Kluyveromyces lactis: one gene and its partners. The protein of the gene in region 1 interacts with the protein of each later gene in a biochemical or structural test. Links are inferred from orthologs where the notes say so. Each region holds a gene or a part of one and is shown in the gene's direction. Other genes may lie near its edges.

Region 1 (5,670 bases):
GCGATATCAGCGCTGCATCTCAACAATGATCTCCCCTCAGAATCGATCTTCGCAGTCAATAAATCAATATGTTTGTTATCAGGCCCACCTTGTCTAATGGCAGCAGAAGCCTGCGAATAGTTATGAAATTCATCGTTGTATACCAAAATAGCATAATCTTTAAGTGTACTCAAGGGATCTAACGATGTAGATGGCGTTTGTTGCTGGGACTCCTCTTCGTCCATGTATTGATTTCTATATGCCAATCGCCTCAGCATGTCAGCTTGTTCATTATATTTCCCGTTCTGGATGAAGTATCTAAGTTTCGCAATGAGTGGTTTTTGAATTGTTGTTAATGGCTCAATGTTTTGGTTGAAGACATCGATGAAATGATCAAATAATTCTATTAGGACGCTTTCTAGCATCTTAGAAATCTTGCCATCATGGTCGTCAAACTCGTCTTCCAAACGACCATTATCTTCAGCACCTTTACAGTTCAATTCATGGTTCCATGCCTCCTTGTCACCACAATCACATATACCGTTATTGAATTCTGTGCAGATCGACGTATATACGTGATGACCAACGTGATCCTTTGGATTGAAACAGTTTACACATAGCACACAAGTATCATCAAATGAACACTCCTTACAACGGTAGATCGGTTCGCCTACTCTAAACTTCGCACCACATATTCTGCCAGCGTGGTTGAATTTCGAATGCCCGCCATTCTCATCGATCTTATACCAGGGTTTCGAACTCAGCTTGATTTCCATTGCTTGGTCGACATTCTTGGGGAATTCACGCTCATTTGTAGCAGTAAACATATGCGGAAGAAGCCTACCACTGTCTGAAATCATATAGTAATAATACCCATATATGAAACTCTTGAGCTCTTTATCCATAACTGCTCTCTCTGCAGATCCCTTTATATCTTTGAATTCAGGCCGAGAATGAATGCAGCCTAAGGTTCGTCCAACATGTTGCCGCAAAAACGACTCTGGGTCAGTATCGTTAATCATATTACCTTAGGGATTGTTCTGATATTGCTATGTTGATGATCAGTTGTTTATACGACAAATCAACCTGTATTGAACCTTTGTCAACTGTGCATTGGCAAGGAAAGTCAAAACTCTTTTCTGATATCGTATTCCTTTTTTTTTTATTGAATCTTTCAGAAGATAAAAATGAATCCTCTCAATGTATGTGGAATTTGACCGAAGCAAAGTGTAAGAAGTACCCTAGAAATAATCATTTCGGTTCCATAAACACAATTGAATCATTTAATAAGCAGGTTATGTTTGGTAGCAAGTGGTACACTGACCATCAATACCTTCTTCTTCAAATAGGTTGTCAAAATAATCTAAATAAAGCATTTCTTTCATGTCTTCGATTTGTAATCCAACGTTGTTCTCAGCACACAATTTAGCGAAGTTATATAAATAAAAAAAACTACGATTAAGTTAGGATTCCAGCTGCAGTTCAACGTCTCGATCCAAAGAAGCTCGCCTGTTTCAAAGTCGTCAGCCCTATAAATCCCTGACTTTTGGTTCAAAAGTAAGTCACGTGACTGATATTCGGTCATGTGACCACGGTCAAACATCAAAATATTTACAATAATAGTCCCTCTATACACTCCATAGACACTACCCAACTGATGCTAACTCCATTGTGATTTTACATCAGGTATCCTAAGATATTCTTTTTTGTGCTCTTCGTACTAATGTTTAAAGGTGGCAAATGCCTCGAATACTTGCTGAAACGAAAAACTGAAAGTAAGACAAGCTTAAAAATGTAAATAGTAAATAGATAAATGGATGCACGTTATATCAAGGGGCGCGCTTCTTGTTTTTGCTCTGTTAATAGTGTTCATTTTAGGTTTGAATGACTAGCAAGCCAAGACCAGAAAGAAGCAGGTATTCTTTTTAGCGAGTCCATTTAAGATGGGCGAATCAGTGCGATGTCTGCGTGATTTTTTGGTTCACTTTGCTCATTTCTGCAGGTACAGATACAATGATATGTGTTCGTTTTACCTTTGGAAGGTTCTACTCACCTGTATGAACCATTGTAATGAGGAAATAAACTGGGAAGATCTTACTCATGTTTTTGGGTTAAATCAGTGGGAAATGGGCGATTTTGGGAAGATCAAATTGAGATCTAACTGGCGTGAGTCACTCATACCGAAAAGGAAACATAACGATCATCGAGGTTCGCAGTGTTCGAAACAGTGCCATGGCACTGAGACCGTTTACTACTGCTTTGATTGTACAAAAAATCCGTTGTATGAAATTTGTGAAGATTGTTTTGATGAGAGTCAGCACATAGGCCACCGATATACATCACGCGTAGTGACGCGGCCAGAGGGGAAAGTATGCCATTGCGGCGACATATCTAGCTATAATGATCCCAAGAAGGCTTTTCAATGTAGGATACAGAGTAACAATGCAGATATTGATGTTACGAACCTACAACTGTACAACGATATGTGGATTTCAACGTTCTCGCAGGTACTCGATTTTATTATTGACTGTTGTTTTGCTTGGATGGATGGCGATGAGAAGATAAAACATGAAGCTGTGGAGTCCATACCGATCAAAGACTCTGTAGGAAATGTAGAATCATTTTCACAAAAGTATGTTCTCGTCTTATACCAGCATGAATGTAACATACATGTGCAAGATGTTGCAAGGAAAATTTCAAGGGCATTGAAGAAGGATATCTCGTTTGGTACGTTCGTACTCTCACAGTTTGATCAAGATGAGCATTTCACCGTTATTGCCGAATCAACCAATAAGGCTTTTATGCTACGATTGAAGCAAGAACTTGAATTACAAGATATACCGACCCATTTGATGAATGAGTCCAACGTTTTTAAAAGGTACATGATAAGTGAACTAGTACGATGGTTACATCATTTTGCCGTTCATAACCCTTCAGTTTTATCTGGAAAATTGTCTCTTAGACTTGCATACATGGATCAATATGTATCCAACCTATTGGCCGTGAAGCCATTCAAAATCAACATTCTTGGGAATTTCATCGTACCACATCAAAAGCATAACTCATTTCCCTGGATCAAACCCTGGAACTTCCAAAGCAACAGTGACGAAACACATGATCCAAACATCACCAATGTCATGCTGATATATGACCAGAAAATTAGAGAAACGGATACCCCCAATACAGCATGCAGATATCTTCCTTTATCAGGTTCTAGATTTCAGTATTTTATCACCGAATGTCTGACTACCTTTTCACAGTTCACGAGAATGAGGTTGTTGGAAGTGTTTGGAAGTATCTTTAGTGTTAGAGACGATTCAAAAAAATGCTTAGCGGCTCAATATTTGGATGTCTATTGTAACATCCTATATCGAACAATAGTCTCTGATGCAAGCGGCTATAAACTAACACTCATGAGCACTCTTTCTCAATATATCTTCCCTTCACCATCAACTGCAAATATGATTATCAATGCTGGCTTCATAGAAAGATGTCTTACTTTCAGTTATTCAATAATGTCTTCGGACTCGGAAATAGTCCCTAATTCACCACCGATTCCATTGAGCTCAGAATTCAAACTACCAGATACGGTTATCAAAAATAAAAAAGCAGTTATATGCTTCAAAGACATTTACCAGGCGATGTGCACTAACACCAAACCTGCATCAGTTTTTGCCAATGAATCCTTAACGAACGCAATGCGCGAATGTTTCTTTTCTTTCAACAAAATATTACCACTAAAGCGAGAAACCTCAGAACATGTCCAGTACGAAAACTTTGATTTTTCCTCATTTTACTTCTTCTTCTCATCCATCTTAATTATGGTTGACGGGTTTCTAAGAAACATATCACTTGTATTGGACCCCATTAAAAGAAAACAATTGGTGTCAACATTGCTCACTACTTCAATCGATAAACACCTCTCCTCATTGGACAAATTTCGTCCATCAATACCCGGAAATACTTCTAACACCTTCAAAACAACTGTGTGCAACGTACAGACTCGAATTTTTAACTTCAAAGTTGGATCAGAAACCCAGAATTTTTTCAATCCGATATCGTATTACATTAAATTCATACTTCAGTGGAGTCAATGTGGCAGATACGAACCCCTTCCAGAGACGCTCAAAGATTACTTCAATTTCAAGGAATTTTTTAAATCTCCAACTGAATGTCTTTGGATAGCAGAACAGGCCCTCTGCACTTTAGTTATGATATCACAGATTGATGTTGGGTTTTGGGTACGCAATGGCTCTCCAATTCAGCATCAATTGAAAATGTATACAAAATACAGCATGCGTGAATTCACTTACTTTAGTGATTTTTTCCTCGTTCAGTTTTCAATGTGTTATGCGGATCCACATGATTTCATGGTTAATTTTCTAACGCGATGGGGACTCAAATACTGGGCAGAAGGAATTCCAATAGGTGACTACCCAGAAGAGAGTTTGACAATCGCCATGACAGAACAATGTTTCCTTACTTTAATACGTTTAATGACAGAAACTAGAGCTCTATGTGCTTCGACTTCAGTTGAAGGTTTCGAAAGTACTATGAAATCAGAAATTATCCACTCTCTCTGTTTTCGAAAGTGCAGTTATAGTTCATTAGTTGAGGCAATCCCTGAACACGTTACTAAGCATCCTGCATTTGACTTGTATTTAAACCAGTACAGTGATTACCATGAGCCGACCGGTAATTTCGATACCGGTACTTACAGTTTGAAAAAACAGTACAGGAAACAGATTGACCCGTTCTTCGTCGGGTTCTCCTCCAATAAGCGCTACGAAGCCACCTTATTAGTCCGTGAAAGGATGAAAGAAACTTACGGGGTTTCTTTTAATGACACATTTGTACAAGCTTCATCAATTCAGGACCAATTAAGGAATACACAATATCAAAACCTTTACCAAATCACTTCTACAGACATTTTTGGCGTGTTCGTGAAGAACACATTGGTTCATATTATGAAAATGAAGCTCGAATCTTTACTAGGCAAAGTTCTTCACTTGATTCATCTTTGTGTTGTCAATAACCTGGCAGACTTTGAACGAATATTTTGGCATGAGTATCATCTTGACGAGTCTGAGAATGGGTTTTATCATAGTATCGGATCTTTACTCTACAATTTTCTATCTTCGGATGACTTTAACGTAGAGAATGGTAAGATCAGAGAGATATTCCGATTTTTGAAAGATCGGGCACCACACATTAATGTGGACGATTACCTCTCAGAACAGACTCCAAATTATGACCCCAGAATTTTGTTCACTGATATAAGTGAATCGGAAAACGAGGAGTACATTAAGAAGAAGATGTTAGCAAAGTCGAGAAGAGAAAAACTTATGCAGAAGCTAGCCAAACAACAAAAGGAATTCATGGATAACAACAATGTTTCTGCAGAGGATATTAGCTCACAAGGAACCAATCTCGATAACTCTGCTATCGGTATATGTTGGACATATCCGGAAGATGATTGTGTATTTTGCAAGATGCCCAAAGATTATGATGTTTTATCATACTTTGTATTTGTCGAACGCAATGTTGTTTCTATCAATTTAGCTTCGGATGACAAAACAAAGGATGTAGAATTTCAACCGGTGCTTACAACTTGTGGCCACTGTGCTCATTTCGGTTGCTTACTATCACATATGAAATCTTTGAGAAAAAGTCTAGGGCAAATTACCAAAA
Region 2 (3,332 bases), on another chromosome or scaffold:
AGTAAAGATGAGATGAGTCAAAAATGATCAACTGTATACGGAAGGAGCAAAAATTGATTCACCATTAATACAACACTATCCAATTTAATTCATCACACCATTCTGTCATGTCACGGAATAGCGTTGTAAGGAAAGTATTGGATATATCGCAGGTGCCTGATTTTTCGCGGTATTCTGCAACGAGGTCCATCAATGAGCTTGCACCCTACATTTCCAGCACTTTAAGCGCATATCCCACAGAATCAAAATATATCAACCAGTACCATTACTACCATAATGATAATGTCTTGGTTAAGAAGTATTTGCAGAAGAAACCACATCCAATGTCGTTGAAACAGTTGGCGCAGTATTACGATGACTCAAGTAAGTTAACGAAGATGAAAATTATTTCTTCTGGGAAATTTGTGAAAGAGGAGCTATGTGTTCGTATCGCACATAAATTAGACCTATTGCAAAACTTGCCTTTCGATGTAGTGAATAATTTCCATTTCAATCAGGTGTATGAATCATATTATAACATCTTTGAAAGGTTCAGAAAGTTCCCGGAGATCAAGGACGAGAAGGACAATTTGAAGTTTTGTCAGTTTCTACATGCGATTTTATCAGATTTCAACTCTTTGAACTTGCCTCATTTGATTATGGGTGCTTTGGAATGTAGAATCCTGGATTTGTACCCTCAGGATAAAATGGATGCATTGATTTCGGATTTATTGAGAGCCCGGATTAGTAGAAGGTTGATCGTAGAAGAACATTTGAGTATCACATCCAATTATTTAAGTGGAAAGAAGGAAAACACACTTGTTTTGGGAGATATTTTCCAAAAATGTAACGCCAAGGAGTACTTGAACGGTGCGAGGGAAGTATGTGAGGCATACATCAATAATATGTATTTTGCGGGCATCAAGATGCCCGAATTGATTATCAACGGGGACACTGAACTAGAATTCTATTTCCTACCATCGCATCTAAAGTTCCTATTGGGAGAAATCTTAAGAAACAGCTACGAAGTGACTGTCAAGGAGACCATACGATTGGGACTAGAAAAGGCACCTCCGGTGACAGTAACTATAATATCGAATGACCAAAGTTATCTTTTCAGAATCAGTGATAGAGGTGGTGGAGTGCCACATTCTGATAAGCAGATATGGTCCTTTGGTAAATCAAAAGAGCTAGCCAAGCAATCCCTAGACAACTTCCATCACTTGCCTGGATTGCAGACTTTGTCGTTATATGATTCTTCTAACGGTGCTCATCTAAAATCAGATCGTTACAGACAAACATCGCTAGATCGGATGTCAGAAAACAATTTGACGAAAGGTAAATTTAAAGTTGGACAACCGCTAATGGAGCTTCTCAAACGATCTCCCAGATATAAACTTGGAATTGGTCTCGCACTATGCAAAGTATATGCCGAATATTGGAACGGTGATTTGACCGTACATTCTATTCAAGGTTACGGTACCGATACCGTTCTCAAACTAGGAAATTTGATGAGGCATACGGACAAATTGCAATTGGATAGAGTTTAGTAAACCAAGTTAGCAATGCTTATAGTAATGTATAGTAACCACTCTATATACCGATATTTACTTATTTATATCATCATTCGATGACTTATGGTCGTTTGGCATAGGAAAGCGTTTTATTATTACCCGCACAAATAGATTTCGCCACATTTCGAAAGAAAGTTGAAATAGATACAGGATGCGTTTGGAATAACTATTGGACTAAACGAAAGGTGCCAGTGGTTAAAGACACGGCAAGTAGTGTTCTGTGTGTTTGATTATTTGTTACTGGAGCTACTTTCGTTAAGAAATATACTATTGTGGTTCTTTAAAATTGATTTTACTGAATTGAGATTTCCTGTAGAAATAAGAGACGCCGATTACGAATAATTATTAAGAACTTGTCTCTGGTTGAACAATTAGTGGGATATAGCAGAGGATAGTCTTACAACTGGGAAACCGAAATATTATAGGAACCACTGACGTTTGTTAAACATTGTCATTGTACTGATAGAAATTAATCATTGAATATTGGTTAAACGAAATTATAGCCACTTTTCAAGAACCCTGTTTAAGTGTTAAGGGAATAAGTTTTAAGAAAGAATACTACAATATGTCTACGCCAGCTAGGAGGAGGTTGATGAGAGACTTCAAAAGAATGAAAGAAGACTCGCCACCAGGCGTATCTGCGTCGCCGCTACCTGATAATGTGATGATCTGGAATGCAATGATTATCGGCCCCGCAGATACGCCGTATGAAGATGGAACGTTTAGATTATTACTAGAATTCGATGAAGAATATCCAAATAAACCGCCGCACGTCAAATTCTTGAGTGAGATGTTCCATCCTAACGTGTATGCCAATGGTGAGATTTGCTTGGACATTCTTCAGAATAGATGGACTCCGACATATGACGTTGCATCGATTCTAACGTCAATTCAGTCGTTATTTAATGATCCCAATCCTGCATCGCCTGCTAACGTTGAAGCAGCAACTTTATTCCAGGATCACAAATCTCAGTACGTGAAACGTGTGAAAGAGACCGTAGAAAAGTCATGGGAAGATGATATGGAAGACATGGCAGACGAAGACGAAGATGAAGAATGATAATCGAAATTGATTAGATCCAATTTCTTAAACCGGAGTATTCCTTGTGAGCGAGAAGCATCCAAGTAACACGAAATATATATATATATATATATATATATATACGCATACAAATATCTACATAATAATCTCAACCCGTTACCGCTTTAATCAAAATGACAAATTGTCATATCCATGCGAATAGTTCTTTATACAAGGAATGCTGTGAGAGTGATCATCGAGGCGAATACGCCCACTGATATTGTTAGCGGATCTAGTTGTCTCTTTTTCTTTTCCCATTCGATTCTGTCACTTGAACAAATCGGTATAGGTGTCACCACCTTAGGAACATCGCTTTGATTGGAACTTACCTTAGCATTCGCATTCCACTGAATGTCATTAGGTTTTACCTTATTGAACTCTTTCCGCGGACCCCAAGTTCCAAACCCCAAAAGATACCACACTCGTTTTTCGTCATCGGTTAAAAATTTCCAAGGCAGCGGTGCCTTTGCATCAAGATGGTGTTTTAGTACGTTAATATCATTGGAAGTCCAGGTGTCAAAGGGCACATTTGTCAATGTTATACTGGTCAGAAGAGGCTTCAGTTGTTCGTATTGTTCTTCTAAAGTTGTCTCATCGAAATTATCTGAAAGTGTGAATTGTGATATTAAAGCACCTAATGTTGGGGTTGGTGCTTGAGTTGCCGGAGAAAGACGTCTGGCTTGACGTAGCAGTAAAGA
Region 3 (4,738 bases), on another chromosome or scaffold:
TTCTCGAGTTTTGAAATTAAATCTAACGGTTTGTTGGGATCCAGAACACACATATGTTTGTTATTGCAGAGAACCTCGTTGCTTGAACCCTGAATATGATCACTGAAGTTTTCGATGTACCACTGGTTAATAGTTCGGAAAAAGCTATCTGTGAATGAGGCCGGACCAGTCCATTCTATGATACCCTCATACCAATTAGCAGAATCCTTCGACATGTTATAGGCAGGTTGAACGTCGAAAAGGTTCTTGTAACCCATTGGGAAAGTCAATACGTTGGTGGATGGATCATAGTAATACAATGCAAGATCAGCTATCTTTGCAACGACATCTACAAACAATGGATGACCTGGTCTACTCGCTAAAGTCCATTGACATAGGTTTATCCTTCTATTGAAAAGGCCTCTCCAAGTACCAAGATCCCGTTCTTCCTCTATACCAATTATGACACCGACATCAGTCTTGGAGAGATCATTTTCAGCCATCAATGTGGCCAACGGACCATCTGTAAGCCAAGCGTCTATGTTAACAGAAGGTGAAGTATCTATATCGCTGTAATATCCACCTTTCGCCAATAAAACGAGGTATCTAAAATAATCAGCTTTCAAGATCTTTCTCGGCAACGTATCCCAGGTCTGAATAATTTCTGGGAACAGCTTAAATTGGGTACGTACGAATTCATCGATTTCATCATCATCGAGGAAATGGTAATTGAATCCAGATTGGGATGACCAAAGCCTCACGTTTTCCTGGAACCTAACATCAAGATTCTGTTTTGATTTCCAAGATTGCCAGATATCTCTTGGAATCTCATTTTGAGAATTGAAATGTGCCAACAGCCGATGCCTCAGTGATCCTGTGGACCAATCTGCCGGTACAGTTGGTGTATTGACGGATTTATCCCTATTCTGGAATGCGGGAATGTTATGGAATAGGATCCAAAATAGGTAAATTGAAACAATGGACAACAATAAGCATGAGCGGGGTCTAAGGTGTTTCATGGGTAGATGAGAGGACAAGAAAGTCAGGTCAACTGGCCTTGGAACATTCTTTTCTTTTTCCTGCATCTCGTTTGTTTTTGTTTCACATTCCTATTGTCTTTAGTTTAAGTTTTACATTTCCTTAGCCTTGGGAATTTGATACACCACAGATCATAAAGATTAGAGAACAAAGGCCATTACCCATCTGAGGGGGAGGGGGGGGTATACTTTCTACCAAAACTACGTAAGTATGGAGTAACATATTCCAAAGCGTACCTACAAAATAGCAGTCGTATTAGAAGAACAAACGATATTACAAATTGAATATCCAGAACCAATAATATCAGAGAGTACTTTAATGCAGAATCAAAAGTAACTTTCAGTCTTGAATCTTGTCTAACAGATAAAGATAAGTACCTCGTCTAATCTAATTGTATAAACCGGAAATACAACTTAGAACTAAGTTAGATAACAACATACCATTAGCACTCATGCATAATTTAGATTATAAAAGAGTGCTAATGGTATGTCTGGCGACGCCTGAAACATTCCGACGGATCATCACGTGCGTAACACGTGACACAATTGTTTTTTTCTTGGCAGGGTAGTCGCATTAGCGGTAGAACAATCTAGAAAGAAAAAGAAAATGGCAAGCTACCAAATGTTACCCGGAAACAGATAGGGAAAGCCTCACCCCGCCTCCATTAAACGCCGGATTCAGCTTAGGAATTACGTGTTGACAAATACATACGAAACGACAGATCGCCTCAATTACCCAACAAACTGACTTATCAGTTGCATGCTGAGGTAGATTGTCATATACTATAGAGAGAGTCTCTATCACTCCATGGAAATACTGCTACTAAATCCATTGAGTTGAAAGCAGTATCGGGTGCTTGTGCACCCGATACTCTAACCTTTATCTTGCTTTGCTCTTGCTCTTAGTGCTTCCATTTGTCATACGAATGTCTCACAGTGACAATTGTCATTTTTTTCAATTTTGTATCTTTCTTTTCATCGTGTTTTACAGTTCTTCATCCTCTAGAAACAGAAATAGAAATATAAAAGAGCCAAACGAGTTTTCGATATATATATATATCATATTGGTTGGTATAGAGGTACATGAAGCAAGCACGAGCGGATTCTGTACTTTGAAATAAGGAGGTAAGGTATTTAGCTCTCTGTACACCGAAGGCCCTCGTAATTAAAGAACCAGGGATTTGTTCGGGAAAGAATACTGGAAACGGCCTTTCGTTACATTTTTAAGGAAGTAAGCTAATAAGCTCTATTATAAATTAGTAATTGGAGCAAATAAAAAAAGAGACAGACAGAGAGAGGAAACAGACCATGTCAGCTGCAGATTTGGAATTGAGAAGGACTTTGACGGATGTGGTTGATGACGAGTTGAGGATCCACAATACGAACCCGATGTCTTTAGATATGGGGTTCGGTGAAACGCACTACGATTCGTTTCCGCAACTCACGAGGTCACAGGTGCATTCATTCTATACCGGGCCCAATTTTTCGTCGGGACACTCGCAACACCAGTATAATATGGGCCAGCTCATGGGTCATGATCTGCATTTGTCTGATGATGATACTGCAAGTGGGGTGTTCAACAAGTACGCTGATCCCAATTTGACCACTTTAGATAAGAAAAGCGGATGTGCTGTACCTGCCACTGGTCCTGGTCCAACCGCAACTACGGGCCCAGCTGCCATTGTGAAACAGGTTAATTTGAATTTAACTCCAGTGCAGCCAACGATTTCACTTAATACGATTACTCCAAATCCTTTCTTACAGTCTTCGGCAAGATTCCCAAATGCCCAACAGATTCCTCAGAATAATCCAAACAACCACCATAATGGTATGTCGAATGGAAGGTTGAACAGCGTCCGTGGGTTTAACTTCCAAACGAGAATTAACAACGAAAACGGATTCGAAGATGAGTTTTTGAATGAGGGTTATGGTGATTTCAATAACATGTACGAAGAGGATGAGAAATTGACCGCTCAGGCTACGTTATGGGATGACCAAAACATGGCGGGGTATTATTGGACAAATGATCAGGATACCCTGTCTCGTTTTGACCAAGAATTCAACTTCGATGATGATCTTTCGGATGAAGAAGAAGAAGAAGAAGAGGAGGAGGAGAGGGAGTATGAGGAAAATGCAGACGGAGGAAAAAACAACACAGAATTAACAGACAAGATTCTGAATGACTTACAGGACGATTTCTCTGACAGTGAGGAGGTTTCTACCAAATCGAATGAGGAGTCGTTATACATGGATACCCAACAACGATTGAACGAAAACCAACAGAGGGATTTATCGCAGGTAACTGTTCCTCGCATAGAGTCAATCAAGAGTTCTGTACTCGAAGAAAATGAAAAATTAGAAGAAGAAGAGGAAGAAGGTGATGATGAGGGTGACGCTATGTTCAGCGAGGACGATGAGGATCCTTTATACGAACCTGCTCTGGTGAGTCCCAGAAGAAAACCAAGTATGGTTATATCTCAACAGAATTCTAACAAACAAAGACAACTTCTCACCATAAATACTCGGAAATCGCATGAGGTCAGTGATAATAAACTGGATCCAAAATCAACGAACACGACAGGGTCTCGTACCATGACTAGAAATAGAGGTAATCATCAACGTGGTAAATCTGTGGATGCCCTACTAAGCGTCGACCGTTCGTATGGATCCTCAAATACACACACACACATTCATCATTCCCACAACCAGAACGATGAGCATATCTGCATGGTGAACAACCCAGTCACTAACGAACCATGTATGAAGAAGTTTTCAAGACCGTATGATTTAATCAGACACCAAAAAACTATCCATGCTTCTAAGAAGAAAATATTCAGGTGTTTGATCTGCATTCAAGAACTGGGATCTGAAGGCTATCAGAGAACCTTTTCGAGAAATGATGCCCTAAGTAGGCATGTTAAAGTCAAGCATAATCTACAAGGTACCGAAGCACAGCGTGTGATACAATACGCAAAGGACAACGTTGAATATCAGAACTCTTAACTGTAAGGGTATTTAGTTTGGCGAATTGGTTTTTTTCTCTCTACGTTTCTTCGACTTGATCGGAGTTCTGCTCATATATGTAATTCTGTAAATACACCTTGATATATATATTTGCTATAGAGTACTCAATATCGGATGGTATACTATATTTTCTCTGTTCTCAACTCATTTTTTTCTTGCCACAGGAGAATGTACCCCAATTCGATGTCTATAGAAATTATTGATTAACATAGAAAGTTTATAATGTGTGCCGTTGACTTGTATCTATATATTTATTCCTTGAATCCTTCCTGGCGAACTAATTCTGCATTGACTTTGGCACTTTCTGGGTCTAAGTAGAATTTTCTAATAAATCTGAAATTATCATCTAGTTCAATGACTGAAGGAATGGCATTAGGAATATTGACTTCCTTAATGTCAGTATCGCTAATGCCTTCTAAAATCTTTAAGAGTGAACGGACTGTGCTTCCATGACCGACTATAAGGCTGTCACCACGTTCCTTCAAGTTCGGAAGAATCATATTTTCAAGCAATGGTTTCAATCTTTGAACGACATCGCACAAAGACTCACCATTGGGCAATTCATCATGAGTAATCTCTTCCTCCAAATATTTAACATGCCTGTTTGGTTCTTTAAATTCATATCCTGTATCACCTTGGTCGAAATCTTGTACCATCTCCCTGTTTAAATCTGCTTTTGGAGGTTTTCCGAGGTAATC

What was found.
Region 2: the proteins of UBR2 (region 1) and RAD6 form a complex in vitro, tested with the Saccharomyces cerevisiae proteins (3 studies listed by BioGRID). The link is inferred for Kluyveromyces lactis from reciprocal best matches to the Saccharomyces cerevisiae genes UBR2 and RAD6.
Region 3: the proteins of UBR2 (region 1) and RPN4 form a complex in vitro, tested with the Saccharomyces cerevisiae proteins (3 studies listed by BioGRID, with this or other methods). The link is inferred for Kluyveromyces lactis from reciprocal best matches to the Saccharomyces cerevisiae genes UBR2 and RPN4.

What each region holds. Positions count from the first base shown.
Region 1 is NC_006042.1:1,415,293-1,420,962, forward strand, and holds the start of UBR2 (putative ubiquitin-protein ligase UBR2), read left to right. Parts: upstream 1-1,922; coding exon 1,923-5,670. Other genes in the region: E3 ubiquitin-protein ligase UBR1, read right to left, coding at 1-1,001. UniProt on the Saccharomyces cerevisiae protein: E3 ubiquitin-protein ligase which probably functions outside the N-end rule pathway, since it lacks the residues essential for the degradation of N-end rule substrates. Mediates RPN4 ubiquitination and subsequent degradation.
Region 2 is NC_006039.1:502,765-506,096, reverse strand, and holds RAD6 (E2 ubiquitin-conjugating protein RAD6), read left to right. Parts: upstream 1-2,118; coding exon 2,119-2,613; downstream 2,614-3,332. Other genes in the region: protein kinase PKP2, read left to right, coding at 108-1,529; KLLA0_C05610g (uncharacterized protein), read right to left, coding at 2,802-3,332. UniProt on the Saccharomyces cerevisiae protein: E2 ubiquitin-conjugating enzyme that accepts ubiquitin from the ubiquitin-activating enzyme E1 and transfers it to a E3 ubiquitin-protein ligase.
Region 3 is NC_006039.1:372,034-376,771, reverse strand, and holds RPN4 (stress-regulated transcription factor RPN4), read left to right. Parts: upstream 1-2,324; coding exon 2,325-4,019; downstream 4,020-4,738. Other genes in the region: KLLA0_C04125g (glycosyltransferase family 32 protein), read right to left, coding at 1-1,064; phosphoglycerate mutase family protein GPM3, read right to left, coding at 4,292-4,738. UniProt on the Saccharomyces cerevisiae protein: Acts as a transcriptional activator of a number of genes encoding proteasomal subunits. Binds to a PACE (proteasome-associated control element) DNA sequence 5'-GGTGGCAAA-3'.